Alligator mississippiensis: one gene and its partners. The protein of the gene in region 1 binds, or shares a complex with, the protein of each later gene. Links are inferred from orthologs where the notes say so. Each region holds a gene or a part of one and is shown in the gene's direction. Other genes may lie near its edges. The genes, in order: SMC2, NCAPH2, NCAPH and NCAPG.

Evidence for each region.
Region 2: the proteins of SMC2 (region 1) and NCAPH2 are in contact, whole or in part, in a cryo-EM structure (PDB 9F5W), measured with the Homo sapiens proteins. The link is inferred for Alligator mississippiensis from reciprocal best matches to the Homo sapiens genes SMC2 and NCAPH2. Residues at the interface, in NP_001036015.1 of Homo sapiens: Leu93, Thr125, Gln128, Asp129, Cys132, Gly135, Leu136, Asn137, Met173, Tyr174, Lys177, Lys178; in NP_689512.2 of Homo sapiens: Glu46, Phe53, Ile54, Glu55, Leu58, Leu59, Gly62, Ser63, Ala64, Cys65, Val66, Lys69, Tyr73.
Region 3: SMC2 (region 1) and NCAPH share a complex: the UniProt entries of both Homo sapiens proteins name them as parts of the condensin complex. The link is inferred for Alligator mississippiensis from reciprocal best matches to the Homo sapiens genes SMC2 and NCAPH.
Region 4: SMC2 (region 1) and NCAPG share a complex: the UniProt entries of both Homo sapiens proteins name them as parts of the condensin complex. The link is inferred for Alligator mississippiensis from reciprocal best matches to the Homo sapiens genes SMC2 and NCAPG.

What each region holds. Positions count from the first base shown.
Region 1 is NC_081826.1:165,751,858-165,759,231, reverse strand, and holds the start of SMC2 (structural maintenance of chromosomes protein 2), read left to right. Parts: upstream 1-4,363; 5' UTR 4,364-4,589; intron 4,590-4,636; exon of another isoform or gene 4,637-4,716; intron 4,717-5,575; 5' UTR 5,576-5,649; coding exon 5,650-5,817; intron 5,818-7,075; coding exon 7,076-7,225; intron 7,226-7,374. UniProt on the Homo sapiens protein: Central component of the condensin complex, a complex required for conversion of interphase chromatin into mitotic-like condense chromosomes.
Region 2 is NC_081827.1:1,908,915-1,916,736, reverse strand, and holds the start of NCAPH2 (condensin-2 complex subunit H2), read left to right. Parts: upstream 1-4,812; 5' UTR 4,813-4,901; intron 4,902-5,241; 5' UTR 5,242-5,325; coding exon 5,326-5,433; intron 5,434-5,570; coding exon 5,571-5,672; intron 5,673-5,872; coding exon 5,873-5,928; intron 5,929-7,342; coding exon 7,343-7,424; intron 7,425-7,679; coding exon 7,680-7,751; intron 7,752-7,822. Other genes in the region: LMF2 (lipase maturation factor 2), read right to left, coding at 128-262, 542-680, 1,142-1,320, 1,824-2,020, 2,643-2,671, 4,052-4,305, 4,491-4,587. UniProt on the Homo sapiens protein: Regulatory subunit of the condensin-2 complex, a complex that seems to provide chromosomes with an additional level of organization and rigidity and in establishing mitotic chromosome architecture.
Region 3 is NC_081830.1:10,298,182-10,305,977, reverse strand, and holds the start of NCAPH (condensin complex subunit 2), read left to right. Parts: upstream 1-4,788; coding exon 4,789-5,023; intron 5,024-5,247; exon of another isoform or gene 5,248-5,434; intron 5,435-5,779; coding exon 5,780-6,026; intron 6,027-7,046; coding exon 7,047-7,140; intron 7,141-7,681; exon of another isoform or gene 7,682-7,772; coding exon of another isoform or gene 7,773-7,796. UniProt on the Homo sapiens protein: Regulatory subunit of the condensin complex, a complex required for conversion of interphase chromatin into mitotic-like condense chromosomes.
Region 4 is NC_081825.1:34,481,634-34,489,276, forward strand, and holds the start of NCAPG (condensin complex subunit 3), read left to right. Parts: upstream 1-4,631; 5' UTR 4,632-4,693; coding exon 4,694-4,804; intron 4,805-6,174; coding exon 6,175-6,381; intron 6,382-7,643. UniProt on the Homo sapiens protein: Regulatory subunit of the condensin complex, a complex required for conversion of interphase chromatin into mitotic-like condense chromosomes.

The sequences.
Region 1 (7,374 bases):
AGCTAGCTGGAGTTCAGTTGCAGCCTTGGCTTTCCTGGTCTGCTCCCTACAGGACCGGACCAGTGCAGAATAATCCTCCTTGGAGGTGACTCCCATCCTCCATCCTTTGTAGGCCTTTCTTTTTAGCCTCAGGAGGTCTGCTAGATCCCTGGAGAGCCAGGGGGGCTGCTGTGCCCTCTTGCTGCCTTTCCTCCGAGATGGAATAGACTTAGTTTGTGCATTGAGGATCGCTCCCTTGAGGAGCAACCACTCTTCTTGAACTCCCCTCTCCCTGCGGTCACAGTCCCTTAGGGCCTCACTGACAAGCCTCCTGAGCTTGTCAAAGTCGGCTTTCCTGAAGTCAAGGACTTGCGTGTTGCTGACCGACTTGCCAGCTTTTCGGCGGATGGTGAAGGTGATCAGCTCGTGGTTGCTGTCACCCAGCTTCCCATCGATCACTAGGTCGCCGACTAGGTCCTCCCCAGTAGCCAGCACCAGGTCGAGCAGCGCTTTGCCTCTCGTTGGCCCATAGACTTCTTGAGTCAGGTAGAGATCATCCACACACGAGAGGAAGCTCTGCGACCGCTCAGATTTTGCTGAGCGATCCTCCCACGAGATGTCTGGGTAATTGAAGTCACCCATGACAACCATGGTCCTGGAGCAAGCTGCCTCAGCCAGTTCCTGGGCAAACTCCTGGTCTAGCTCAGGACTTTGGGTGGGAGGTCTGTAATAGACTCCCACCATTGTGTCCCCTGTGCCGTGTTCCCCACGGATTTTAACCCAGAGGGTCTCCAGCCGTCCACCCTGGTCGCCAATATCGGCTTGCAGGGACGCGTAGCTTTCCTTAACATAGAGAGCTATACCCCCACCCCTTTTCTCTACACGATCCCTCCTGTACAGGGTATAGCCATCTATCCCCGTGGTCCAGTCACGGGTGGAGTCCCACCAGGTCTCTGTGATCCCTATGACATCGTAATTGTTTGCACTGAGCAGGAGGATGAGCTCCTCCTGCTTATTCCCCAAGCTCCTGGCATTTGTGTACAGGCAGGCAAGCGCCCCCTGGGGGGCTCCTTCCTTGCCCACAGATTTTACCAGGGCTGGGGCTGGGGAGGGCTCCCTTGAGTGCCATGATCCGCTGGCTTTGCAAGATTTGCTCAGCGGGCCAGCAGTGGCGGTCGTGCCCCCGTCCCCCAGCGGGCTTAGTTTAAAGCCCGGTGGAGCAGGTCAGCCAGTCTGGCTGAGAAGAGCCTCCTCCCTAGGGGAGAGAGGTGGAGACCATCTCTTCCCAGCAGCTCGCTGCCTCTCTCGCCAAAGAGCGGGCTGTGGTCATGAAAGCCAAAGCCTTCCTGACGACACCAGTGCCGCAGTCTTTGGTTGACCACATAGATCCTCCTGTCCCTTCTCAGCCCATAGCCTGAGACTGGGAGGATCGACGAGAACACCACCTGTGCCCCCAGACCCTTAAGCCCCGCTCCCAAATCCCTGTAGCGCCTCATGACCTGGCTGGGAGTGCTCCGAGCCGTGTCATTGGTGCCCACATGAATAAGGAGCATGGGATAGCGGTCTGTAGGTTTGAGGAGCTTGGGGATCCTCTCCGCAATGTCCCGGATGCGGGCCCCCGGGAAGCAGCAGACTTGCCGGGCTAAGGGGTCGGGGTGGCAGATTGGCCCCTCCGTCCCCCTCAGGAGGGAGTCTCCCACAACAAACACCTTACGTTTTGTCTTGGGGAGAGCAGGGGCGGGAGCTGCAGTTGGGCCCATGTTGCCTGTGGGGGCCGGCAACTCAGCAGGCTCTGCTGGGGCAGCAAGAGGTGCATACCTGTTGCTCAGTTGTGGCGGGGGTGGGGCCTTGGTGCGGCGGGCCTTAGGGCCCTTGACCACCTTGGTCCATGCCCCTGGCTGGACACAGCAGGAGGTCCCAGAGTCCTCCTCTGGCCTGGAGGGAGACTGTGATCTACCCTCTGCCTCCCGGGGGAGAAGGGCCTGGCAGTAGGAGTCTATCTCCTGCTCGCAGTCCCTGATGGCACGCAGTCTGTGGACTGTGGCCTGGAGCTCCTCCAGCTGGCGCACCAGAGACCCCAAAAGGGAGCAGACCCCGCAAGGGGAGGTCGCCATGCTCCCAGGCCCCAGAGCCTGAAAAAGGGACAGGCAGCCCCCGCAGCCGAGAGCCAGGGGCTCCGTCTGCATGGAGCCCGGAACCAGGGGCTCCGTCTGGGTGGCCGTCTCTGAGGTGCCAGAGGGGGGGGCCGCGGAGCCCGAGGGGACCCTCGGGGTGCGGCGCTTGCCCATCCGTGTCATGCCTCTGGTAGGCTGGCTACGGCTGGGACTGTCTACCCTGCGGGGTGCGCAGGCAGGGTCTGGCGCCCTCCCGCACGAACTCCGTGCTAACTCACGCGCCGGCAGAGAAGCGCGCCTGTTTGTGCAGCCTGTTCGCGCGGCTCCGATCGTGTGGCTCCCTGGGGGGCTGGGCCAAGTAGGGGCCTGGGCGGGGCTTGACCCGGCCCGGCTCCACTCAGCTGCCGCCTCACACACACACACTAAGGGGTTAGCCCCTTCTCTCCACGGGCCCCGCTTACCCCGGCTGCGCTGGGGGTCAGCGGGGGGCTCCGCGGCTGCTGGAGGGTTTCTGGGGGGCTTCGGGGGAGCGGGGGCACAGCGAGCTTTCACCCGCGCGTCTCTTGCCGCTCCCGCGTAATATTGAGGTGGCAATCATCAAGCACCAACTTGCTGGACTGGACATCGTATGAGGATGCTCAACTCTAGACTTCCAAAACAAGTGCTCTACTCCCAGCCTAGTTGTGGCCTGAGATCTCACAGCAACGAAGAAAATGCTACATGGACACACTGAAGGCATACCTCAGGAAAACAGATGCTGACATCAAGAACAGGGAGGAGCTGGCTGCTAACTAACTCCGACAGCACTGCAACCTCAACTGAGAAACACCCTGCACTGAAGTAAATCATCCTGTCCTGAAAAGAAGAGAGAGCAGAGGAAGGAAAAGGAGAGGAAGCCCAGACTACGGCCTACTTTCTGCTGCAGAAAGACCTGCGACTTCCATGGACACGTCTGTGGCTCAAGGGTTGGACACTTAAGTCACTTCAAGACTCATGAAAGAGCTGTGGTAGAGATCATTCTCGAAGAGAGGGATTGCTAACTAGATCAGGTCTCCCTGTAGCGATGGACAGTGATATTACTGCTCTGGCTAAAGCTAAGCCACATCCATGAGTCACTGGCCACCAAAACCAAACCAAACCAAACCAAACCAAACCAGCCTTGCATGCAGTGCTGGTAATAATCACTTTGCAGATTAAACAGATGTAATGAGATTGCTGTTTCTTTGTGTCATTGTGGTTAAATACTTGGCAGAAATACTCATTTCCTGAATTCTAACAAGTTATTGCTGTCATTTCGTTATGGCTGTTTGCTCTGTGATTATTCCTGGCATTGTACAGGGCTCCATTGTCAGCATTAGTGCTCAGGATGCAAGACTACGATCACTGCAGTGCTGTCCTGTGCTACCATGGCAGTAGCACATGGATGGAGCCAGCTACCTTCTTCAGTTTGAAGTCACAGTAGATTTGCACCTTACAGACTAGCTAAAATCAGTGACATATAGCACGAGCTCTGAAATGAGCTCAGGCTCACAAAATCTTATGCTGCACACATCGTTTCTAAGGGTCAACCCTGTCCTGCCTTCCGTAACCTATGGAGTACTGCCCTAATGGCTCAGCCTTGCGCTCAGGGCTGGGATCAATTCCCTCTGCTAACAACCCAGAGGAGACCTGCAGCGTGAATATTCCCACCACCTTTTGGCTGCTTATCTTGCCAAATCGGCTGCTTCCTGTGGCCAAATACCAGTTTCCAACACCCGTTTCCTCAATTCTGTCTTCTCTGCGCTGCCAGACGTGGCTATGCCTTGTTGAGCATCAGAGCGCTGAAACCTGAGCAGGTTTTGCCAGAAAGCTTCCCTTGAGGGACAGGCCTAAACTGTGGCACTTGCTTACGAACTAGGCCGCGCAAGGCCGGCTCGCTACAGGGGCCCCTGTGGAGGGGAAGGGGAGGGTGGCTACACCCTAGCAAAGCTGAGGCAGGAATGGGCTTTGCAGGCCGCTAGCAGCTCCGCAGCGCGAGGCTGGGGCGCTGCGGCTACATCGGCCCGCGCACGCCCTCAATCACAGCACCAGCACTGCCCCATCCCCCGCGCACGCTTCTATTCTATTCTACCCTACCCCGCCCCGCTACTGCTGTTACGTCATCCTCTTGCGCCCGCACAGCGACGGGCTCTCTCAAAGGCCCCACCCACCTGTGTCCCTAATCAGAACGCTGAGCAGGGGAGAGGGAGGGGAAGGGGGTCCTTGCTGGCTATGGCTGACACCAGTAGGTGCCTGAATCGACGGTTGTTTTTTTAGCCTTAAGAATCGATTAAAAAATTAAAAAAAAAGAAAAAAGAAAACGTGCCGAGGCGGCGGGTGGCCGCGGGAGGGAGAGGCGCTAGGGGCGTAGCTCGGTGGCCAGTTCGTCCGGCAGCGCGCGGGACAGCCGCAAACGGTCGCCTCCGCTGGGCGCCAAAATTTGAGCGAGGCGACGGACGCTGGCGGTGGCGGCGGCAGGTGAGGGGGGCTGGGTCCGCGGGCAGTGGGGTGGGGGAGCCGCCTCCGCCTTGTGGACCCCGCGGGGCTGCGGCCGCCGTTCTGAGGGCGCCCGTGCGCAGCCGGCATTAGCCGTGCACGAGTTGAGGTGCGTGCAGGTAGGCAAGGTCCTGTGGGCAGGTGTGATGTCGTTTATCAGAGCAACTAAATAGTTGGGAAATTGCTGTTTGCAAGCTTGGGGCATAAACTTCCTTCTTCAGGGTGTGTATATCTATGTGCTTGTGTGCGTGCGCATGTTTATGCGTGCGTGTGTGTGAACCCGAAAGCTTGCTTAATAACTATTCTCCAACTATTTGGGTTGGTCTAATAAAAGATATCAAATTCACCCAAGGAACCTTGTCTGCCTGTGTATATAATATGCATGCATACGTGTGTGTGTGTGTGTGTGTTTCATTTACAGCGGTGTAGGTTGTAGCCGTGTTGGTTGAAGGACATTGACAGACAAGGTTCTTTGGGCGAATCTGATATCGGAGATAACAGATTCACCCAAAGGACCTTGTCTGTCTGTTTAATTTATGAACTTGTTATTTCAGCAAACCCCTAACCATGTGTAGAGTCACGCTGCGCTCTGAATGCAGACAGGCGTCCACAACATGCACACTGTTAAAGGAAAAATAAGTCGACTTTGCCGTCTTCAGGAAGATGATTGTCTTGAGGGGTTTTTTTCCCCCAGTAGCTGTATGTCTTTGCTGAGAAACATTCATGAGGCATGAATCCATACATATTTTATTGTAAATAACAGCTTGGGGGAGAGGGCCTTTGCCCTTTGTTGGACGAATGTCAATGTAATGTTTGGGCAGCACCCTGATGACTTCCCTGCCTGAGGGAGCAGCTACCATTGTCTGTTAGGGCAGCATTGTAACCTTTTCCATTTGCTTTGTGCTTTTGATTCTGTTGAATGCACTCTGTTTTGATTTGGTCTGCTTTTATTGTTTTGAAACCTGCAGCACTATAAACTGGAGAACTTTCCTCATCCCCCTTGAAGGGAGGCTTGGCATGGTCCTTCCGAGAGACCAAAAAGATGCATGTCAAGTCAATTATCCTTGAGGGATTCAAGTCCTATGCCCAGAGGACAGAAATCAATGGCTTTGACCCACTGTTCAATGCTATCACTGGCTTAAATGGCAGCGGCAAGTCCAATATCCTGGATTCCATCTGTTTCCTGTTGGGCATCTCCAACCTATCTCAGGTAAAGAGCAAGATGAAACACACGGTTCTGAATGACCATGAGCAACAATAAAATTTCTCCCTGTTGAACAGGATCATCAGGCAGCATCCTTTTCCCCCTTCACAGAATGTGTGGCTGGCTTTACTGTTTTGTTTTGTTTTTTTAACTAAAATGAGGAAGATTGACACTTCCTCTTCTGCACTCTGTGAAGATTAAAATTTTTCAATCCAAATCGGAGGATTCTATTGAGAAGTAAAAATGATGATGTGATCATTGCTGATGCCTCATTAGCAAGATTGCTTTACAGTCAGGCATAGAGTGCGTCCTTATCAAGGAATGTTGCAGCTGCTAACAATTCTTTTTCAGATGTTTTCCAGTTTGATAAACTAATGTGAATATATAGCTTTTGTAGTTGTACTAACAAAGCAATCCATTTCTCACACCATCAGGTATGATGTTTCGCCTAAGGCAGAAGTCATTTTTACCAACCGACTGTAAACTGAATGGTGGTCCCTTTTACTTCGCTTAGTTTTTTAACATGTAAAAATAATATAATTAGCTTGTAATAATGATAGCAATTAATTAGTATGCAGTCTGCAACCTAGAGCCATGGGACAAAAGTAGCAGAAGATTGAAATCATAACGTTTTTATAAAATAGAAATACAAAAGCAGATTAGGATGCTAACTCATTTCCTTATTATGCATGTGGGAATCTCTGGAGAATACTGTTAAATGATGATTTTTTTTATTTTATTTTTTTTTTTTTAGCAAAAGAGGCTTTTTATTATTTAAAAGCAAAGAATAATAACAATATTTAATAAGTAACACTATGCACATAGTACCATTTACGTAAGTAATATGTATGTTTAGGAAGATCTGTATCTACTTTTAGAATTGCTTAAAAGTGTGGTTTAGACTCAGTAATCCATTAGAACCTCAATGAATATTTAGTATAACATCTTTACAATCTCATATAGATGCCATCATGAAGAGAGCAGTGTTTTAGACTAGACCATCTTGCTGCGTATATTTATCCATTTAATTTTTTTCATTAATTTCTTATAAAAATCTTTAATTGACATATTAAAATTGGGCTGGTCTTTTGTATATTGTTTTATACTGCAGCCTTTTTTATACCTCCACAGTTTGTTCGTTCTTGAAAGTTACTAAGGTACATAAATCTATAGCATGCCTACTTGTCAGACATTTCAGTTGACTCCCCATTTGCTATTAATACAATGACTTTGTTAATCATTCATGTCTCTTCCATATTTTCAGGTGCGAGCATCCAATTTACAAGATTTGGTTTACAAAAATGGCCAGGCTGGAATTACTAAAGCAACTGTATCAATCACCTTTGATAATTCTGACAAGAAACAAAGTCCTCTGGGATTTGAGGCTCATGATGAGATCACCGTCACCAGGCAGGTAAGCTTTTAGCCTTTATTTGTTCAGAAATGCTTACAGATTTTTTCATTCTTCTTGATAGAAACTGAATTCAAGATGCAAGTATTTGCTCTTCGTTTTAGCCACTGCATGTTATACAGCAGGGATGTGCAACTCGCAGCCTGCAAAGG
Region 2 (7,822 bases), on another chromosome or scaffold:
AGCATGGTGAAACCCAGGGGCTGCTAGGGGTTGCATCCTGCTAGTGTCCTGGGGTTCGAGGGGGCACGCAGGCCCAGGTGTTGGACTTAGCAGGGCCCGCCCTGCAGCGAGGGGGGCAGTGCCATACCGATCTTGGATTCAACGTGCTGCTTCTCCCAGTTGATGCCCAGGCCGAAGTACAGGACGGTCCCGTAGAGCAGCAGCCCGTAGACCGTGAGCTCCACCAGCGCGGAGAGGAAGGAGGACAGGCTTGGCGGCCAGGCTGCGGGGAGGAGATGGGACAAGCCGCGTCACGACGGCTGAACGCTGCCAACACAGAGCTACCCGCCAGTGTCTGAAACGCAAGCCCTCTGTGTGGGGCGTTGACTCTGAAACCTAGCGATGGCTGCTTGAGCTGGGCTGGCAATGCTCTATCCAGCCACGCACTCCTCCCACAACTCCCCTAGCTGCACGGGGAAAAGGACCCACCCCTGCACCCATACCCAGGAATTGGGGGCGCTGAACCCAGAGGAGAATCTCCTCCTCCCCACAAGGGACTCACCGGTGCCGTGCCTCTTGCGGCTGCGCCCCAGCCAAAGCCCCACGTGCTCGTCGTCCAGCAGTGAGAAGGCCAGGACGATGGTGAGCAGGTTGAAGAAGTTGTAGTTGCCCGTGAGGATGATCAGCACCTGCAGCAAGACCTGTAGGGACCCTGGGAGCTCAGAGCCAGGGCGGGGGCACCGTACCAGAAGCCCCCTGACACCTTCCTGGGGGCTGGGGCGCCCCCTCCCACCCAGACCCTGCAGGGTAGGAGCTCTGCATGGCACTGATTGCTGCATGGCCTCCCAGCCCCATTCAATCTCTGCTGCCCAGACATGCAGGCGGCAGCCGCAGGACCCTCCTCCTGCTGGCGCCAGGGACCACAAGGCCAGGACTGTGGTGCAGGGAGATGCCTGGGGCTGGAGCGTGAGGGACAGGCCTGCTTTGCATTCAGCCCGGCTCCGTGGCTCCGAGCCTCAGAGGGTGTAGATGACAGCAGGACCCTGCTTTTGCCCACAGACCCTCAGGCATCAGTCTGTCCCCTGCAGCGAGGCTGGGACCCACACAGCCCATGGGGCAGGCACAGGGCCCCGGAGCCCCCAGGCCCAGCTGGACCACGCACCTGGCAGTAGAAGGCGAAGAGGCGGAGGCGGCGGATGGGCGCGAAGAAGAGGGGCGGCACGGCGATCTCGATGACGTAGGTGGCCACGACGCTGAGCTTCTGGAACCAGACGGGCAGCTGGTGGGCGTACCAGGCAGCTGGCGTGGGGATGCACTGCGTCTCGTAGTGGTAGGTCAGGGCTGCGGGCACACAGCGGGCCCCCGGGGCAGGCGGTCAGAGCGGGGCAGGTGCCTGGCACGGAGGGTAGCGAGAGGGTCTGGAGCAGGAGAGGGGCAGGGTGCGGGGGCAGACGGAGGGACACCACCCACAGACCAGGCCATACAATCGGAGTCCTAGAGTTACGGGGCTGGCAAGGAGCTGCGAGGTCGCATCCCGTCCAAGCCCTGCCTGAGACAGGATCAGCCCTGTCCAAACCAGCCCGGACAAACACTGTGCGCGGCCTTGGAGCTACATGACACAGCCCCAGGCATTGCCCCCGCCATACAAGGGGGCTGCCAACATCCTGCTGCTGCCAGGGGGGTCATGGATGTTGCAGAGATCCCAGGCCGACGCCGTGCCCCCGCTGCAGAGGAAGGCAAAACCCCGGAGGGGCAGCACGGCCCAGTGGGTGCAGGGGCTGGGACTCTGCTACCAGCACCAGGGCCTGCCCGGGTGGCCCTGAAGGGGAAAGCGGGGCCCTCACCTGTGAGCCCCCACCAGGTAGGGCAGCGACTGGTCAGCTTCACCACGCCCGAGGCGAACATGAGCCGGAAGAGCAGCCAGCGCATCAGCCAGAACGGGAGCCCGTCGTGGGGGCGCCAGGCCGTGCTGCGCCACTTCAGCAGGTGCAGCGGAGCCACCAGCACGGCCAGGAAGCCGATCTCCAGGAGCAGGCTGTCCCTGCGGGGAGAAGAGGGGACATACCCAGGGGTCAAAGCTAGGGAGCTTCGGCCGGAGGACAATATCCAGCGCCTGCCGGAGACCCCGGCCCTGGAGGAGCCGATAAAGGCATGTGCTGGCAGAGGGGCAGTCACACAGGGTTGCCCCCCACGACCGGGCACTCAGGCCTTGGTGGGGGCACAGAGCTGCTAGGACAGGAGCCGTGTTCCTCACTGCTTCTGGAGTCCACGTTCCTGCCTCGCCTCAGAGCAAGGGCCCCTGAAGCCCCCATGCCGGAGCCCCAAATGCCTCCGTCGCTGCAGCCCGGGTCCAAATGCAGCCTTGACCTCGCTTGTGGAGCTGCGGGAGGCCGCGACAGCCACGTCCTGGCTCCCACGTCACATCTCCACAGCCCCAGGCCACACGTAGGATGTGAAGCGTCATTCCCCTCCCTTCTCCTCCCCGCCCGGGTGGGGGGCAGCGCGTTGCTGGGATCAAGGGGCTGCTTGGCCTGGGACAACTCCAGCTTTGCTACGAACTCTGGGCAGCGAGGGTGCCAGGCAGCCCCAAGGCCCAGCTCCCACGTGTGTGCACACACATGTACACGCGTGCATGCGGACAGGCCAGCACGGGCAGCACTTACCACTGGAAGTACAGGAACACCTGCCCCACCTGCGGAGAGAGGGAGGGCCAGGGTGAGCAGGCACGGAGAAAGGTGCCCCCCACCCCTCCAGAAGGCACAGGGCGAACAGGGAGACAGAGACGTCTGGCTCCGTCGCCAGGATATCACCCAGCTCCCTGGAGCCGGGCCAAACCCAAGGACGGGGCCAAGGCCAGCCCAGAGAAAGACGGTGCCTGCGGCCGGTGTGCCAGGGCCGGGCCGTACCAGGAGCGGCAGCAAGAGGAGCCGCCCGGCTCTGGCCTAGCGCCCGGGACAGGTTTAGTCATTCCCGTCCGTTCTGGAGAGGCCCGAGGGTGCGAGAGGCTGCAGCTGGGGGGCAAAGGGCATCCGCGGGGGCAGCTTGTGCTGCACGGCCCCCGGGCCCTGCCCGCAGACCGATCGCTGCAGCTGCTCCGGAGGGAGGGAGCTGGGAGGAAGTCTCTCTCCAGCCTCCCCTTAAAAGGGCAGACGCAGCGAGTGCCCAGCCCAGCCCGGAGGAGGGAAACGCAGGCTCTGGGGGAGCTCCGGAGGGGGCACCCCCAGCCCCACGGCTCGGCAGCCCCTGCACCACGCGGCCCAGGCTCCCTGCCCCAAGGGGAACGCCTGGCGGGGGGGGGGGGGGGGGGCGGGGCTCAGCTGCAGCTGGGAAGAGGCAGGGCACTCGGACCCAGGGGGGTTCAGTGCTGCTGGGCCCAGATCTCGCGCAGGCCTTGCTGCACCCGGGCGCCGTGGGGGCTAACGCAGCCACTGCCCTGCAGGGAGCTCGCAGCAGGCTGCAGCATGAGCTTGACGTGTCCGGAGCTTATTTCCTTCGGTTTCGCGAGGAAGAGAAACTGCCCCCCCCTGCTCCCAGCAGCTGACTCACCCCCCCCCCCGCCAGCTCCTCAGAGCCAGACAGCGCTTCCACAGGCCAAACCCGCGTGCACACGTTACAAAGCCCCGGACGCTGCGGTGCACATGTCAAACACACTGTAACCGTGTGAATGCGTGTTAAACACGTGCGCACCAGGATAGAGTTGCGTACATGTTAAACAGGCTAGCGCTGCGTGTGCGCGCATGTTATGCACACGTTAAACAGCCCAGAATTGTGTGTTTTAAACAGGCTCAAACTGTGCACGCGTGTGTTAAACAAACTACTACTCTGCGTGGTGATGGTGTTAAACAGGCTACAACTGCGTGCGTGCTAGGCTAGAACCACGTGTGTGCACGAGTTTTAAATAGGCTAGAACTGTGCACGTGCGCGTGTTTGAACCAGGCGTGCGTATGTGTATGCCAAACCACGTGCACGGGTGTGTGCCCACGTGCGAAGCTATAAACGTATGTGCGTGTGTGAAGCAGCGTGCGAGCCTGACGGAGGCGTGCGGTCGTGGGGCGGGTCTGGGGGCACGTACCTGGTAGAGCGAGAGGTAGAGCGCCCAGAGCAGCAGGAAGACGAGGGCGTCGCGCAGGCGGTCGCACACCAGGGCGCCGAAGGAGGCCAGCACGCCCAGCAGGCACAGCAGCTCCATGCCCTGCTCCGTGTCCAGCCCCAGGCGCGGCCCGAGCCACAGCAGCGTGGGCGCGTCGCGCAGCTGCTCCCGCAGCGCCCGGCCCGTGAAGCGCAGCGTGCGGCGCGCCGGCAGCACCCCGTCCCGCCCGTACAGCCCTGCGCACAGCACACCGCCACCGCGTCAGGGCGGGCGTGCAGCACCGTGCACACCCCCTCCCCCTGCCCCACCCCACCCCACCCCCCTAGCGTGCACTGCACCGCACTGCAGTGTGTACTGCACTGCACTGCACTGCACTGCACCGCCCCCCCATGTACACAGTGCAGTGCCCCCCCCCCCGTACCGGGCAGCTGGCGGTAGAGCGAGGCGAAGGCGGCGAGGTAGGCGGCGGCGATGCCGGCCAGCAGCAGGCGGCGGGCCAGGCCCGCGGGGTCGCCCATGGCGGTGCGCGGCGCTGCACAGCTCCGGGAGCCGCCCGCCGACGGGGCGGGGCCCGCGCAGGACACGCCCCCACCGCCCCGCTCCGCCCCGCCTCGTACACGTCAGCGCGCGGCGCACGTCAACCTCGCGCGGGAAGCGCCAAACGGCCGCCGCGCCTCGGGCCGGCGGGGCGGGGCCCGCGCAGGACACGCCCCCTGCCCTCCGCCCCGCCCCGAACACGTCAGCGCGCGGTATACGTCACTCTCGCGCGGGAAGCGCGAAACGGCCGCCGCGCGGGGGCCGACGGGAGCGCGCTCCACCCCTCCCAGTGCCGGTGAGTGCGTGGTGCGGTCCGCGCCCCCCCCCCCCCACGGTGCAGTGGTACCCCCCAAAAGAACCCCCGCAGCCCCATGGTACAGTCCGGACCGCACAACCCCCCCCCCACTGCCTCATGGTACAGCCTGGGGTGCCCCGTGGTATGGTCCAGGCCCCCCACCCCACCCCATGGTACAGCCCGGACCCCCACCATACTTCATGGAACAGCCCAGGCCCCCTATCCCCCCTCCCCCCATTTCCGGCAGACCCCCTGGCACCCCCACCCCCTGCAGCGGGAGTCCCCGTGTGCATGCACACGCGTGTGGTGCTGAGCCCTCACCTTGCTTCCCCCCCTCCAGCAGTGCCCCGCCCCTGATGGCAGCACACGGGTGAGAGGGAGACGGAGCCGCCCCACCCCTGCCCCCGCCCCGCCGGCCGGCGCGATGGACGACGCGGAGTCGCGCTTCCTGCACCTGCTGCAGCCCATCCGCGACCTCACCAAGAACTGGGAGGTGGACGTGGCGGCGCAGCTGGGCGAGTACCTGGAGGAGGTGCGGACACGCGGTGGTGCGGCGCGGCGCGGCGGGGTGGGGGTCGCGGCGCGCGGAGAGCCCGCTGGACCGGGCCGCGCGTCCGTGCCGCTCCTGCCCGCCGCGGCCAGCAGCCCCTGCTCCTCTTTTCCCCGCAGCTGGACCAGATCTGCATCTCCTTCGACGGCGGCAGGACCACCATGAACTTCATCGAGGCGGCGCTGCTCATCCAGGGCTCCGCCTGCATCTACAGCAAGAAGGTGAGCGCCCGGAGCGAGGCCAGGCCGCAGGGAGCTTCGCCAGGGGCCACGCGTGGCTGCCTCCAGCCCCGGCCTCGCTCTGCGGAAGCCGAGTCCAGGGATCGGCCGCCCGGGAGAAAACCCCTTCCAGGGGCTGCGTTGGTGGAGAAGACGGGCAGCCGCAGGGCCCAGCCCTCAGACCCGTCACTTTATCCCGGCAGGTGGAATATCTCTACTCGCTGGTCTACCAGGCCCTCGACTTCATCTCCAACAAGAAGTAAGTCAGGGCCCGAGGGGCCTCTCCTGCCAACTGGGCTCAGTGCTGGGGGCTCCCCCAACGCCCCTGCAGCCGGCTTGGACGGCGGATCCGTGCCTCGCCGGCGCGGTCCTTTGCCCTCCCTGAGCTTCTTCCGAGCCAGGGCCTTGCAGCGTGGCGCGGGGTTGAACCGGTCCCTGCAGCACTCGCTGCCCTTGGCGGGGGGAGAAGCTGCCTCTGGTTTGTGGTTGGCAGCAAAGTGACCTGCCGGGTCCGGGGAAGGAGGCGCTGGCAAAACTGGGGGCCAGTGCCCCACCGTGTGCTGACGCCCAGCTCCAGGCGTGGGGTCTGCTCCCCTGGAGCTGCTGATCCCCGGGCGATGCAGCGCTGCACGAGGCTCGTGGGCATCCATGGTTCCCTTTGGGACCCCCTGGCACGGATCCAGGATCGTGGCCTTGCGTTGCGGCAACGACAGCCGTGTTGGGGGCCCAACGCCCCTCATTGGCAGAACAGGCCTGCTTCGGTGCTGTGCCAGGCGTCTCTGGGAGCTTCCCCCTTGCCACGTGCCCCTGGCTGTCCCCAGCGCTGCCCGAGGCGCTCCCCCACGTTGTCTTGGGGCTGGTGGCAGCTGCGGCTCTTACCGAAAGCCCGGAAGGGCGAGGCTCTCACCGCCCTGGTGTGAAACTGGCGCTGGGCTCCTGCCCTGCAGCCGACTTCCCCAGTGAAACCTGCTGTGTCAGAGCCGGCGCCTCTACGCCGGGATGGACCCTTGCTGCGCTCTGTTGGGTTGGGCCCGGCGGTGTCTGGGGCATTGGAGCTGCTGCAGCTGCGTGACGGTGACTGTCATGGAGCCAGACCTGGTCTCTGCTTCCCTCCCCGTCCCGTTTCCTGGCTCTGAAGCATCCTGGTGGACCAGCCCATGCTGCAGCCTGATGCCACGGGCCACCGGGGACTGCAGCTAGCTTCTCTCGCATGGAGCTGCCTCCATGGGTGTGTGTCTGGCGCGTTTTGTGGGCACCCGGCACCTCTGCCCCGTCTGCCAGCAGGGAGAGACCCTGGTACAGGCCTGCCTCCAGCGCGGCAGGCTGTGGCCCCGCTGCCAGCTGTGCCCTTTGCTGGGGGAAGGCTCAGCGTTGGCTGTCCCTGGAGAAGCCACATGCCCATCGGGGGACTCGCCCTCTTCGTTTGCCCTCCTGGACTCTTTAACAGCAACTGAGGCCAGGCCTGTCTCTGACACGTTTGCTCATGGGAAGGGCCAGACATGCCTGGTAGCTGCATGCGTTGCCTGCCCTGGAGCTGGGGGAGACGGGCCGTGACTTCCTCAGTGTCGTTGGTTGGGGTCGCACCGATGCCCCAGTCGCAGCCCCAGGGAACTTCTCTGCTGACAGCGACAGTTTCAGATGCCTGCACTCTCTTGTTTTCCCTCCTGACCCAGGCGGGACAAGCAGCCTGCGTCCGTGGGAGAGGACGGCCACGATGCCGACGCCACTGTTAGGACCGGGACGGAGGAGGAAGAGGTAGGATGGCCGGCGTGGGGCAGGCGAGCCCTCGCTGCTTCGGGGAGGCATGCAGGGAGGTCCAAGGTCGTCCTAGGCTGTCAGGAGCTTCTTGTGGACTGTCCGGTGCTCTTGGCCGGGTGCAAGAGCTCTTTGGGGGCTCAGAGTGGATACTGGCAAACCCGCCTGTCGGCGTCCCAGACGTGCCGTCTCCATCCAGCTCTCCAGACCCTCCGCCGCTGGCCTGCTCAGCGCTCTTCGTTTCTCTCCGCACAGTTCCTCTCGCTGGATGACATTCAGGATGCGTCTGCAGATAATGTGAACATGAGGAAGGACCATCGGCCCAGCGTAAGAGATACCGTCTCCAGCCCCGGCCTCTTGTACCCCCTTCCTGGCAGGGGTTTTGGGTGGATCCCACC
Region 3 (7,796 bases), on another chromosome or scaffold:
TCTGGAGGAGCCCTCCCTGGTGCACATCTCCAAAGGCCAAGCACAGCTGTGCAGCTACTTTAAATGGATGCTGTAAAACACTGCAACAAAAACAATAAATGTTATGCTGTTCAGCAGGGATCCAGGTTTTCCATTTCTCTTGGAAAAACCCAGCTTTTTCCCTTTGAAGCGGGAAACTCTTGAGTTTCCCCTTGCAGGCTAGCAGAGTTCTGGCCTGCTAGGTGCTGCTGGTAGCTGGGGGAAGTGGGGGGAGAACAATCAGTGGCAGGGGGTGCCACAAGCGTGTGCTTGTGTGCGGTGGCTGGCAATACAGCTATGCAGGGTGATGGGAGCAGCCCTGGTAACTGGAAAAAAGTAAGTCTATGGGATGGAGGCAGGATGGAGAGTCAGGACTTGGGGAGTGTTTTGGCATGGTCCAGGCACACCCACTGGCAACATCAGGGAGGGGCACATGCTCCCCCACAGATTTCTGCATGGACAGCAGGGTGTGGGGCACAGGGCTGCAGCCTAGTCAGACTGGCACTAGGCAGAAGCTGTCCCTGTAGCCCAGCAAGCAGAACTCAGCATGGGAGGGCAGAGTAGGGTGGGGAGACTCGATGCTGCTGTCACTGCTGCAGCCAGAAGTCCTGCACTAGCTGCACTGCCTAGGTGGGAAGCCTTTTGCAAGTCCAGCAGCAGTGGGGACGCGCAACTCTGTACTGCCCCCACTGCTGCTGGGTAGGCAGGTGGTGCCTCGATACAGCAATGCAGCTGGTATGGGGTTGCTTTCTGGCGGTGGAGTGGCAGCAGCACCTAGTCTCTCCACCCCACTCTGTCCTCCTGCGCTGGGTCCTGCCCACTGCACCAGGGAGGCTCCCAGGGGAAGGGCAGCAGGGCAGGGAGCACCAAGCCCCCCAGCAGGCAGTCTACAACCCCCCTTCCCCCCCCATTTCACTCAGCTCCACTCCCAGCCACAGACAGAGAAGGGGCCCAGGCTCTGCGCTCTTCCCTCCACTGGGGCCACAACAACTGGGTTTTCTGGTACTACTGGCTGGCTGCAGCTGGTGCTTGCAAGGCAGGGAGTGAGCAGGATGCAGCCCAGGCAGCTGCGGGGGGGACAGGGGCTGTAGGTGGGGAGTGAGGAACACTGGCAGGGACAGGGGCTACATGTCACAACGGACACTGGTGAGGAGGGGGAGGGGGCAGTTGGGAGTGAGGGGCATGGGTAGGGCTGGTGGGACAGGGAATTGTGGGTTGGGAGTGACAGGGCACCAGCAGGACTGGGGGCTGTGGCTTGGGAGTGAGGGGCAACGGCACAGGCAGGGGCAGGGCACTGCCATATCAGGGTTGCTCAGCACCACAAAAGAGCAGAGGGGAATATCCACAGCTGGACCTGCATCCTGATCAGTGAAAGAGGCAGAGGAAACTGATTTTTTTATGATAAAAATACCAAAATCAAATGCCAAAATATATAGGTATTTAGAATTTATTTTATCAATGATTAAGGCACTGGTAGGTTTCCAAATTGCTTTAAAATTGTAAATATCTCAATAAAACATTGTGTTCAACTGATACCTATATAGTGGTACTTCATTTTAAGTGTGGAAAAACATGGATTTGGGGGGGGGGGGGGGGGTTAATTAGCAAATTTTGGATTTTTTAACAAAGAAAACCAAGATCCATGTGATCAGTGATTGGAGTCACACAGTAAGGGATACAGACTGGGGACTGACTGAATAAGGAGCAGCTCTGCAGGAAAGGACCTTGGGGTTACAATGGACAATAGGCTGAATATGAGCCAGCAGCGTGCCCTTGTTGTCAAGAAAGCTAAGGCATACTGGGCTGCATTAGTAGGAGCATTGCAGCAGATCAAGGGAAGTGAGTCCTTCCCTCTATTCAGCACTGGTGAGGCCATATTTAGAGTACAGGCAGTCAACACAATTGGTTCTTGCAAACCCTGTCTTACATCCAAATTTTGTAACTCAGAACCAATTTTCTCATAAGAAACAATGTTATAAATGGGGGATTGGTTCCTAAACCAAGGCCCAATACCCTATTTTCACCAAAAATACCCCAGAATTTTGTACTCATTCAATTATAGATGAGTAATATAGCTACATTAATGTATGTATATTGTAAATAGCAATCATATTGATTTGGAAGGACTTCTCTGAAGTGACTTTGCTGGACTTTTTGAAAGGCTCTTGGTTGGACTTTTTGAAGGGTTCTTGGCTGAAGTCCTCTCGGGAGTCTTGACTGCAGGTTTTTCTGGAGTCTTCGCTGCTTTCTTAAAGAAAGTGCCCAAGGAAGTTTGGCCAGATGTTCTCCAGGGAGATGAGTGATGCAGTGAACTTGTTTGCTGGCATGGCGTCACATTGGATCAAGTGTTGTAAAGTCGAAACTGGTGCTGTAAAGTTGAAACAGGGTGTCGATTTATGTTGTAAGTGTGAAACATTGTAGTTCGAAACATTGTTAGTAGAGGACTGCCTGTACTGTGTTCTGTTTTGGAACCCTCACTACAGAAAATACGTGGAATAATTGGCAACAAAAATGGTTAATGGGCTGGGGGACATGATTTATGAAGAGAGGCTAAGGGAACTGAATTTACTTAATCTGTAGAAGAGAAGACTGAGATGGATTTTAATAGCAGCCTTCAACTACCTGAAGGTTGGTTCCAAAGAGAATGGAGCTAGACCAGGAGTGGGCAAAATGGTGGATCCAGGTGGCTAGACTCCAGCACAACGGCTATGAGGAGGTGCATGTCCCTGCCTTAAAGCCCAAGCTCTTTGGCTCAGAGGAGGTAGATGACCCAGCCCTGTCCCACTGGGTTGGTGGTGGAAGGGTTAGGTTACCCAGCATTCCTTGCTGCCACTTCATAAGGCACCTGCCCTACCAGTGACTTTTTCAGTCTCAGCACAAAGCTGAGTGGTATGAGGGGCAGCCTCTAAAGCAGGGGTGGGCGAAGTCCAGTTCATGGGCTGGATCTGCATGGCAGTGGATTCCATTTCCCAGCAGCCCCTGCCCAAGTGGCTGGGGCCAGTTTCCACAGAGACCCCAGCAGTAGCCCTGCAGGCCTGGGGTTTCCTTGGAGACCAGCCCCAGCAGCCTGGGCAGGGCACACAGCAAGGCAGGGACCATGCTGGGATCTTGCAGCAGTGACAGTGTGGTCAAGAGCCACGGCACAGCTGTGATCTGCAGCCTGCGTGCTCCAAGCAGAGGCATGCAAGCAGCAAATCACAGCTCTGCTGCAGCTCCAGACCATGCTATCACCACTGCAAGAAGGCAAGGCAGAGCCACGATCCACTGTCTGCACGCCCCTGCCCGGAGCATGCAGGCAACAGACTGCAGCTCTGCCGTGGCTCTGGACCACGGCATCACCGCTGCAAGATCCCAGCCTGGCTGGTCTCCATGGAAACCCCAACCCCAGACTATCACAGCCAGGCTGCTGCTGGAGTTTCCATAGAAACTGGCCCCAGCCATGCAGGCAGGGTCTGCTGGGAAATGGAGTCTACTGCCAGCCAGATTTCGCCTGTGACCCAAATTCTGCCTGCCCCCGAGCTAGAATGTTTTCAGCGGTGGCAGATGACAGAACAAGGAGCAATGGTGTCAAGTTGCAGCAAGGGAAATTAAGGTTAGATATTAGGACAAACTCTCACCAGTAGGGTAGTAAAATGCTGGAACAGGCTACTCAGCGAGGTGGCAGAATCTCCATCCTTAGAGGTTTTCAAGACCTGAGTAGAGAAAGCCTTGGCTGGGATGATCTAGTTGGGGCTAGTCTCACAGTGTGAGTTCGTGCCTGGTGCGCTTTTGCCAATAAACACACAGGGGTGGAGGATCCAACTTAATCTTTATTGTTTCAAGTCTGCGCAGAGAGGGGTGCTTGGCAATCATTTGCAAAGCAAGCACCACCGGTTTCTACCTTTGGGTACCTTTTATACATATGTTTGCAAGTGTATCGCTCAGTGATTGGTTACAAGCCACTGACATAAGACGTTCTCTACTGAGCATGTCTCTATACCTATGTTTTAGCCATGTATTTCATTTACATACATATATGTTTCATTAACATACTTTTGCTCTGCCCAGGGGTGTGATTTTTAGCATTATAATGAGACCTTTTTTTGAACTTCTTGCTATCTTACAGGTGTCAGGGAGACGTTATCCTGCTGGTGTTAGGGAGGCACTCCAGGAATCCTCCGAATCCCACACGCTGTGCTTTGCAAGCATCTCTTAACACACACATACCACACCCCTCCCAGCATCTGCAAGTTGCCTTAAGTATTGGGTTAGATATAGTTTACAGACGCTAGATATACCATAAAAAAGAGTACATAAAAAGATTACATCAGTTGGACTAGATGTGACCTCCTGAGGTCCCTTCCCACCCGCATTTGAGGTCATGAAGGAATTTTACCCCATCATCAGATTGGTGCGGATTAAGGGGCAGGGGCGGGGAATTGCCTTGCTTTGAAGCAGGGGCCGTGGCGGTCTACCTGGCACCCTGGTTAAGAGTCACTCGTGCAGTCCCTTGTTGACCACAGCACTGCTGTCTGCCTCTGCCACCTCCCGTGGCCACGAGTCCCAGAAATTAACCCCATGCAGTGCCTCTTGTACGTTGTAAAACCGTCTCTTTCTTGCAACCTGGGACTTGGTGAACAACAGCACCCTGTTTGTCATTGTAGTTTGTCATAACTAAAATATATAATTGTAACAGCATTCAAATTGTACTTACCTGAAAGGATAAGGAGGGCTGCCCTGCACAGGGGCGGTGTGAAGAGACAGAGTTTGCCTCAGCCCTCGCCGCACAAAATGGCGGCCGAACGCAACAAGATGACGCCGCTCGCTGCGGGCAATGCGCACAACATGGCGGCCGGCGTTGGGACTTCCGCTACCGCAGGCCACACCCCCCCTGACGCCAGAGCCGTTACCAGCGTGATTACGCCATCCGCTCGGCGCCTGCGCGGTGGGGTGGCGCGCGTTTTTTTGAACAGAGAAGAATCGGATGATCGGGTGAAGTTGAGTTTTTGCTGCTGCAGCGGAGCACGTGAGTGGGGCCGGGGCCGGGGCCGGGGCCGGGCCGGGGCCGATCAGGTGTGACGGGCGGGCGGGAGAGTGCGAGTGCCGCGAGCTAAACGTGGGGGGGGGGCAGTGATACCTCACTCACTGTCCGGCAAGACCTCCACGCTGATTGGCCGGGAGGCGGGAACATGCTGAGAGTTCCCTGCTGGTTGGCTGGCAGGTGGCTAGTGGCCGAGGCGCTCTTGCTGCGGGTCCCGCCCGACCCTTTGCTTGTGCTTGTGGCAGGGCCGTATTTCCTTGTGTATCTGCACTGAAATGACCAACCGCGGAACTGGGGGAGGAATGTGTATTTGCGAGGCAACACTGTAGTGGGGCCGTGTTTCCTTGTGTATCTGTGCACTAGTGCAGGTTCCAGCTACCGGATTGGGGTAAGAAGGTGTGTCTGCAAGGAAATACGGTACTGGAGGGGGCGCCCTTAAATTTTGAAATACCGTGGGGAGGGCAGGGTACATGTCACTAAATTGGGAGAAGCTGCAAGGAAATACGATAGTGGGGTCCATATTTCCTTATATATCTGCACACTGCAATTTCTAGCCACTGTATTGGAGGGGGGAGGGGTGATGTGTTTGCAAGGAAGTAGTGTAGGTGGGGGTTGCTTTGGGGAGGAGGGCAAGTTGCCCTTGTAGGTGAGGTCTGTGGAGTTTCACTGGGGCAGCTGGAGGTCACTGATTCATTAAAAAAACCCTTTCTCTTTCTTCCATTCCACCCCCTCCCCTCCCAGCAGAGATGAAGAGCTCAACACCCCAGTCCGCCGGCCGCTCCCTGAGCACCGCCTCATCCTTCGATAGCGTGTTTGTGTCCCCCAGCACCCGGCCCCAGGCCCTGAGTGCCGGCAGCACCCCTGAGCTGGAGAGCTTGGCCGGCAATGATGATGAGCAGGAGAAGAAACAACGTCGGCGCTCACGCATCCTTGACCTGAAGCTCAGCAGCACCGAGTCGCCCCTTGTGGTCAAATCCCCTGCCATCAGGTAAGAGGGCTGCTGCGGGGCTCCACCCATGGGGTGAGGGCAGACACGATCCGAGGTTAAAGAGGCAGGGAAGAGATAATGGAGGGATATGATCCGGGTTTGGATGGGGAGGGGGAGTGACAGACCTGATCTTGAGTTAAGGCGGGGGAAGACGGATGAACAGACACAATATGGGGTTAAGGGGTGGGAATGATGGGGAGACATGTTGGTGGTTAAAGGGGGGTGGGGGGGAGAAATGAGCGGGGTTAAAGGGGGGCAGGGTGGACAGACAGACATGATCTGGGATGAAGGAGGAGGAGCAGGGGTGAGGGTGGGCAGACACAGATGTGATATGGGTTTAAGGGGATGGGCTGACAAGCATGATTCCGGAGTTAAGGGGTGGGGTGACCATAACTATTTTAGGAAAATCTGGGATGGGGAGGTGTGCAGGCTGGGGCCAAGACCTGCTGGGGAGCACAGTGCCTTTTCTCATCAGAACTGGGGCCGTGCTGTCAGCCGGGCTTGGTGGCACTGCAGGGGCTCTGTCTGACTCATGGCTCTGTCCCAGCACCTTCAGCTGCATCCTGGCCATGAGCAGTTGGGCAGGCAGAGCCAGCCTTGGGCTTACACCCATCTGCCTGGTTAGCTTCTGTGACAAAGGCACCATGTTCCCCAGCACATCCCAACAGCTACTCTGGCCCTATGTACTGCCATACACCTGTGCATGTGCACTCTGCCCTGCAGCTCCCAGGAGTGAGGCCAGGCAGGACAGTTTGGGACATGTGGCCAACCTATACAGGGGGCACAAACCTAATGATGGGGCTTCTTGGTTGGGGGAGATGATCTGTACCTCAGGCTGGGTTAGTGGGGTGCCTGCTATTTATCTCCTCCCTGAAGCCCTAGGCCCTCCAGAAACTCTGGGACAGACCTGGCCCAGGAACAGCAAGTTAGATGCCCCTATCACACGACACTTCCCTGTGGTGTTCTCTGGAGGTGCCCAGTGCTGAGCTCTCTAAAGCAGAGGTTCTTGTCTTTCTTCAGGCAGGCAGACACTTCTCTGCCGGTGATCCCAAGACTGACAAACGCTCAGATTTCAGATCACTACTCAACCTGCTTTAAGCTGTCTGCAGAGAATGTGAGTTCAAAGCTGTGGCTTGAGGCAGCTTTAAAGATGGCCAGCTTCTTATTCCTCGGGCTGGGAGCATTTAAAATGGATTAGTTTTAGGCAGGCACCAACGGGAGTTCAGGGATTTCTTCCTGGATTGCTGTTGGGAGTAGGCGGTTTATTTTGGGGGGGGGGGTGTGCAGAAGCATCTGTGTTGTGGATTATGAGCACTTCTGGGCTGGAACAGTCTCCCCGTCCCTAGGATGATGGGATCCTGCTCTGGGATAACTGGGGCAAGGAAATACCATCTTTTCTCTTAGACAAGGCTTGCCTTTTTTTTTTTTTTCTCCCAAAAATTGGCCCCCTCTCCCAAATTGGGATGTGTATATTAAGCAGGATGGCTGACTTTTTGCCTCGTATAGTAACACCCTGCTTTTGATTCTTGCATTACTATTCGGGCACCTGTGGTGGTCCATTGACTTAATGGCTCATTTGCTTTTCACTCCAGAGAGGATAACTCATTTCTCCGTTATAGTCATGATGTTCCACTAATCGAGCTAATCTTTCTTAGGGCAGTCTTGCTGTCTACTGCCTGCTTCGGGTCTCTCGCCTATTTCACAGCTTTGGAGACCCTTTAGCTCTCTTCAACCATAAATCCACCTATGGAGACCAGTATTCAGCAGCAG
Region 4 (7,643 bases), on another chromosome or scaffold:
TGTGGCATTGTTAATACCTCTGCAAAGTGGGAATGTTTGTGGTTCAGATTTTGTACTGGTTTGCACTCATATCGCATTCATGCTATATAGATGGAAAGGATTAAGCAAGATGTTAAGGAGGGGAAAAAATCAGGCCTACTACAACTAAACTGTTCATATTAAGATTCTATTTAAAAGTGGGCCTCTAAGAACATGTTACTAAAACATCTAGTTTTGTCCATTTGGCTAGGCAATTGATAGATATATATAAAAAAACAATTTTAGCTTAAATTGTGTTAACTGAGTTAAACTACCAAATATACCACCCAAAATAGCAGCTGCCTGCAAGAGAGCTTCACTTCTGCCTTGATCTTAAAAGAAAGAGAGGGTAGATCAGAAGACCTTTCTTACTCCCATACCGTGAACCTAAATAGAAAAATGTGGGAAGAACAAAAGTTGTAGAAGAGAAGGGTACAAATCATAGAGAAAGTTGTAGACCAATACAGAAGAGGAGAAAATAGGAAAATGAGAGTATGGTATAGGTAGAAACCACATGGCTGAAAGAGAAATTTTTGCTGGGGCAGGAAAAGATTAAGAGTAGAATTTTTGATGGTGGAGGAAATGAGGGAAATATTATAAAAACAAGAAGAGAAGCTAATTTAGTTTGGAAAAAAGAAGATTTTGATGTTGTTGAAAAAAGACACACACAAAATAAACAGTATGAGAAAAAATTAGATTGTAGAAAAAATATAGAAAAGCAGAGGATTACCTAACTACACGTAAAATTAATTCCTTGGGTTTCTGATGTTCCTTCATTGCACCTGTATGATGGTGCTGGCTAAGAGACAGATATAGCAAATAAAGGAAAGAGGACAACAATAAACTCTTTCATAGATTAATTCAAAATTGCAAAGTATGTCTGGGAACTAAATTGCTAACTAGGGTTTTCCCCCTAAATCTTAGTGGTACCAATTTCCATATCCATCCATGTTTAGTAGATATAGTTTTCAAACCCTTAAAAAGAGTGAATCAGAATGTCTATTGTTTAATTTTAAATTATTTACTTTGCTAGTGTGGAGAAAGTAGGTGAATCTTTAAATCAGGTGAAAGATTAGGGAAATAGTGGGGGAAGAGCAGCTTAGGTAAGTGAGATCACACATTTCTTCTCTGGCAATTTAGGAAATATAAACAAACCTAACAGTGACTAGGCTGTGACCTTATTTAAAACTTAGTGCTTCAGTGGATTTCCTGTAGCCTACTATTCTCAAATTAAAAATGCTCCTGTGTAAAGATTAAGTAAGTGTTTATTGTTTGGGGGTGGAAGACTTACAAAACCATGAAGGCTGCTGGTAAAATTCAAATGTAAACCTGGAAAGTTAAAGTGAGGTTTTCTGTTGGAACTTTCAAACTCAAATTAATGGGACAATGAGCATCAACAGTGTCAAGCTGGTCCCTTCTATTCTTCATCTCTGGAGACCCATTATGTTTGTAACAGAGAGATGTTTTGGTAAAGAATCTGTTGCCTGCAACTGTGGTTATATTAAATGTATTCTATTTAATTTGTCTATGGAGCTGAGGAGCTCATGGAGTATGCAGCTCTAATTTGGTATGGCTTTGTTTGTAAGCCTCACGTATAATTTACCTTCAGTTGCAGTAACTATGTGTTTGCAGAGTTACATTATATGATAGGCCAAGAAAACGTTTGTATTATATTAAGGTTGGGGGCATAAACTAGATTAGTTGTGGATAGCAGCAAATATGTGCCTCACTATCCTGAAGCAATGGGGGAGGGGTGCATTAACAAGAAAATAGGACTTAAATCTAATTTTTTTTCTATCCATCTGGCTCTGCCAGGACTTCTGGTTTTCAAAACATGAGAGGATTTTTTTTATTTTTTTCTGTTTCCTTTAAGATTATGTCTTCAACTAGCCTGCTAAATTAGCACTCAGGTTTTATAACCTTAAATTGTTTTATATTAGTACAAACCTAAACTTGTTATGTCACTAAAGCCATATTGTTTCCAGACACTTGCTGTATATATTCATCCCAAAACTTCTAATTTTGCAACCCAATTTGAGTTCAGTTAATAGTAAAGATGCCCTTGCAAAGACAGTTGAATCATCCCAACCCTTTATACAATACAGCTTAATGTGGTATCGCTTTAAGTTACAGGTAAATGCATGGTCATTATCTTAACATAGTCTCACAGGAGGATTTTCACTCTTCTAATAGCAAGAGTTGCCCAAGCTACCCTCTCCAGCTTCTACCCACACCTCCCTCCTAATCTAAATACCAGGTATGAGGTTGCCAGCTCCAGGACTTCAAAACCAGCAAGTCAAATCCCTTGCCTCATGTTTCTGGGTTTTGTGTACATGCCTCCTTTATTTTTGAGAGATAAAGGTTGTAGTCATGTTGGTCTGAAACCAAAAGCAGTCAGCATGGCAGAGGCAATATCTTTTATTACACCATCTAGATAGTTGCAAAAAAAAAAATCTTTATTTTCAAGCTTTCAGGCTCACATACCTTCCTCAGGCAAAGGAGAATACAAAGATTCTAAAATTTCTCCCATTATCTTTGAGCTTTTAAACCAGGGGTTGACAACATTTTTGGGCAGAGTGCCAAAAACACCTCCACTTGTAAGATGCTGGTGTGCCAGGTACAGATGGCGGGGAAGCCATGAAGGGCCCAATCCTTGTTGTGGCAGCGCAGCCCCAGCCCCTTCCCCCAGGTGTGCATGCTAAGCAGAATGCCTTTGCGTGCCATGCTGTGGCACCCATGCTGGGGGTTGCCTACCCCTGATTTAAACAGTGATTCTTAACCCAGGAGTTGTGGAACCATGGGGTGCCTGAGGTGTAACGAGAGGTAAGTGCAGGTTCAGGCTCGTCCCTGCCTGGCTAATCCCTCCCTGCCTGCCTACTGCCTGGTCCTCCACAAAGAGGTAGCGCTGTAATAGATAAACTAGTTAACTGTGTGGCCCTGCATTTCAACAACAGGTATTGAGGGGCACCTCAACTCCAAAAGGGTTGAGAACCACAGCTGCAAGATCTCATCCATCAAAGCTGGGAGGAGAAGGACTTGGCTTGCTAAGGCTAGAAAAGATATCACAGAATGGAGCAGAGCTGCAATGTGTTGCGGCACAGCTGACTTGCTTCATTGGGTGAAGTGTATATCTTTCCTTGTCTGGCACCATTAGGGGCAGAACAAGGGGCAATGCCTTCCCCAGACCTGCGCTGTGGGTTTGGGACAGTGGGGGAAAGTGCTTCTCCCCTCAGCCAGCCCCTTGCACCTGGCTGGGTGGACTAAACATCTACTGCAGGGACATGAGAGATACTACAGGCACTACTGAGTCTGACTAAAGCTGGACAGAAACCAGCTAGAAAGTTGTTGCACCCTTTCAAGCACTAACTTTGTAGTTGACTCTTTTTCTAGCTGGGCTCCATGATGGTTACTTTGCCTGTGCGGCGGGTCTAAACTCATGGTGGGATGGAGCAGTGATTTGCAGATATGTGTAGTGTGGCGCCACCTGTTGCATACTCCTGCCACGGTGCAAGGGTTTGAAAATTGTATCTACTCAACAAGGGTACATATTGAAATTAGTACCACTAAGATTCAGGGGAAAAACCCTAGTTAGCAATTTAGTTCCCTGACAATTTTTCAATAGGATTGTTTGCAATAGTAAAGTTGATAATGAGCTCTTGCAGAATCATAGTCAGGGTCTGACCAGTATGGAACAACATATGCATATGATATGTGTTCAGGCAGTGCAGTGTGTACATGCATGCATTGCTGTATAACATATATTAGAAATAAGAAAAAGTGAATGTATTTGACTTTTTTTCCTTTAAGTCTCACAATGCAAGCAGCCATGAAGTTAGATTTTGAGTGTGCCAGCTTGTTAATAAACTTTTGGAAAATATGCCACAAAATGCCCAGATCGATGATGAATTGTTTGATAAATTAATGAACCCAAGCTGATTAGACTGAAGGATACATTTCCAGATGTGAGAATCCAGGCTGTACCGGCACTGTCTAGACTTCAGGATCCCAAGGATGAGAGCTGCTCTGTTGTTAATGGTGAGTGCTCTGACTTTTGGCATCGTATTTGCTTCCTTTCCCTTCCAATAAGCACATTAATATCTGTCATCTAAGGTTTTCCTTTTTTACATGAACTAAACTTTACAACCTATTAAAAATAATTATTTCATTTACTAATTGTGAAAATGCTACAGAAAACATGTTTTACATTGTCATTACAGAATTTTTTACAATAAAATTTTTGAAAGAGTCGATTGTCGCCCCCCTCCCTGTATTTTCTCTTTTCCAGCACCATCATGCAGGTGCAATGAAGGCACATCGGAAGCCGGGAAACTAATTTTGCATGTAGCTAGGTACGTAATCCTCTGCTTTTCTATATTTTTCTAAAACCTAATTGTTTCTCATATTGGGTTGTTGGGTTTTTCTGGTCTTTTTTTTCAACAACATGAAAAGCTTCTCTTTTTCCAAACCAAATTAGCTTCTCTCCTGCCCCGCGGCCGGCGAGCTTGGAGGCGGCGCGAGCGAAACAAGAGGCCACCTCGCCCGCACCCTCGGGAGAACCCCACAGCCTGGCCCCGCCCGCTTCTGTTCTCGCGAGATTGGCGCGGCCTCACGTGATGCGTTTGAAGCGGGCGCGCGGGGGCCGTTGGGCGGTGGCCGTTGGCGGGTCGTGGCAGCCATGGGTGCAGATGCGGAGCTGTTGTCGATCCGCGACGCCTTCGCGCTGGCGCAGAAGCCGCAGCAGAGCCAGGCGAAGCTGGTGGCGGCCTTGAGGCGGACCTACGCGCAGGTGAGCGACGGGCCCGGGTTCCAGGGCCGATGCATGGGGAGCTCGGGCCCCGCCGTCACACATGAGGTGCCCGGGCGCCGCCCCGTCCCGCCCGCCGGAGGCAGTTGGATGGGAAGCTTGATTAATACTCTTGGGCTGCGGTTCCTACACTCTTGACAGGTTGCGCACCGCCAATTTAAATCGATACAGCGTGAAGTACCGTCAGCACATTTTTTGTCATCGTAAAGTAATTATCGTGCATGTGTTAACATGTGCCACTGGTGGTGCCCGTGCCACAGACTGGGAACCACTGCCCTGGGGGCCTGGTGGCTAATTAAGCTGGGCACTGCTCGCAGGGGGCAGGGCTAGGGTCTGCACTCGGCATCACCGTTTGCTGCCGATGAGGCAAGGCTTGGCGCTGGGCTGGTGTGGCCCAGGCAGCGCTGCCCACGGGATGGGGCCATGCCAGGTGAGCACTGAGCATAGCCTTGTCCCCATCCCCTGTGAGCGGTGCTGGGTTCGACACTAGTCTGGCGTGGCCCCGTCTCCTGTGAGTGGTGCTGCCTGGGCCGTGGCAGCCGAGCACCGAGTCTGGTGCTGCTTGCAAGGAACAGGGCTGGGCTTGGTGCTCGGCAGCGCTACTCACAGTAGACAGGGCCGGTCTCGGGGCTTGGCTGGTGCAGCCCTATCCCCTGCGAATGGCGCCAGGCTCAGTTCTTCTCTGGCACAGCCTAGGCAGTGCCACTTGCGGGGGATGAGGTTGTGCCAGCCAAGCCCAGTCCTGTCCCGTGTGAGCGGCGCTGTGGCATGTCTCTGCCTCTCTTCCCCCCCCCCCCCCCCCCCCCCCCAATTTCTGATCTAAAAAAGTTAGGTTGGCTTATACACTGGATCTATGAAATCTGTAACATTTTGGATCAGAAAAATGGGGTTGACTTAGACACTATGTTGATGTATATACAGTTGAAATACAGTAATTATTATTCAGGATGCCTGTGTAAATGATTCTCTTGGCCTGTTTTCATGCAAGTCAAAACCAGTTTTAAACCAGTGGTCTGTTTTTAGCGTAAGGATCTAAATTGGGGTGGGCTGCCCATAACCCAGATCTGGCTGCACAGTGATTTTTATCCTGCCCACCAAGTGTGTTTGCGTGAGAATGTGCCAGTCCAGTGGCTGCCTCTGTCACCTCATGCCTCTAGCCCAAGGAGACCTGTGCTGTATTAACTTGGTGTCTGGTTGCCGAAAGGTTGCACACACCTCAAACAGTTGCTACTTGTTTGAGAGACTCTTTCTCATGTTCTGTGGGTATGCCTGCAGGTGCTCATTAATATATTGTACTAGATGAATCATTTCCCTTCACTCATTCACAAATCACTGTGATTGCTATCTTTCAGCTGGATGAGAAGAAAAATTTTCATGAGGAGTTTCTTAATTTCCTTAAATATCCAATGGTAGTTTACAAGCGGGAACCCGCAGTAGAGCAAGTGATAAATTTTGCAGCTAAGTTCATAAGTTCACTCTATCAAGCAAATGAAGAGGGTGTTACTGAGGAAGAGGAAAACAATTCACTTCTGAATTACTCGTTTAACTTCCTACTTAAGGTATGATAACAGCTTTTATTCAATTATTAATCATAGAAGATTAAGGTTGGAAGGGACCTCAGGAGATCAACTGATCTAGTCCAGCCCTTTGCTCAAAGCAGGACTGTTCATCTACAGCATCCCAGATAAGGCTACCCAGGTCTTTAAAAATCTCAAAGGATCGAGATTCTACAACCTGTTGGTAACCTGTTCCAGTACTTTACTACCTTCCTTGTGAGAGCTTTTCTGAAGATCTAACCTAAACTTCTCTTGCTGCAACTGGAGCAGTCTAGCTCCATCCTGGAACAGAAACAGTCTGGCTCCAGCCTCTTTGTAAGTACCTTTTAGGTAGTTGGAGATTGCTATTAAATCCTCCCTCAGTTTTCTCTTCTCCAGACTAATGTGATGGTCAAACGTGGATCAGGTTGAGACTGGTCAAAACTTGTCAATTTTTACTGGCACAGCTTTGTTGGTTAGAGATGTGTTGGGCTTTTTCTTTTGCTGTTTTGGTGTGCTATTAAAGACCAAATGTAAATTTAGTTTAGCAGTTCTCAGCCTTTTAAGGCACTCCTTGGAAAATGTCAGCTCTTAGTTTTCCTTAGCCAAAAACCAAGTGACAAATAATATAGCAGTTTTTCTCTAGCAGAGAATTAGAGAAGACTACAGCATGTCATAATGGTTTGGACACTGGATTCCTATTTGAAATCTCTGGGTTTATCTTGCGAATCATGTTTGTATACCTAAACAGTGCTAACATTGTGTAGAACCCAGGGCAGCCTTGAAAGGATCAAAAGGCACTCCAGGGTACCATGACACCCTGTTTGATAATCAGTGATGTTGTTTATAAGCAGCTTTACACACTTATACAAGTATAGCTCTGGTTGATGAACCAGCAGAAGTTTTACAGATATAAGCACTTCTGTAAACTCCTGTCTGTGTACTAGAAAGGTAAGGCTGGCTTATAGTGCAATGGGCATGTCTACATGTGCTGATTTTTAAGGTGCATCAGCCATTTTTACGACTCATTAAGGGTGTAGGTCTACACATATGCACCCTTAATGTGCCTTTAAAAATGGTGATTTTAGGCAATTCATGCCTAAATTTGATACCTGCAAAAGCAGGTATCAAATATAGGCACAAATAGTTAAAGCACCTTAACATACATTTAGACGCTTTAAGGGGTATTAATGCTGTGTATGTCGACTGGCTTGGGACTAACTTTAGTCCCAAGTCGGTCTGCACACCATGTTAATGCGCCTTAGCAAGTGCATGTGTCGATGCAT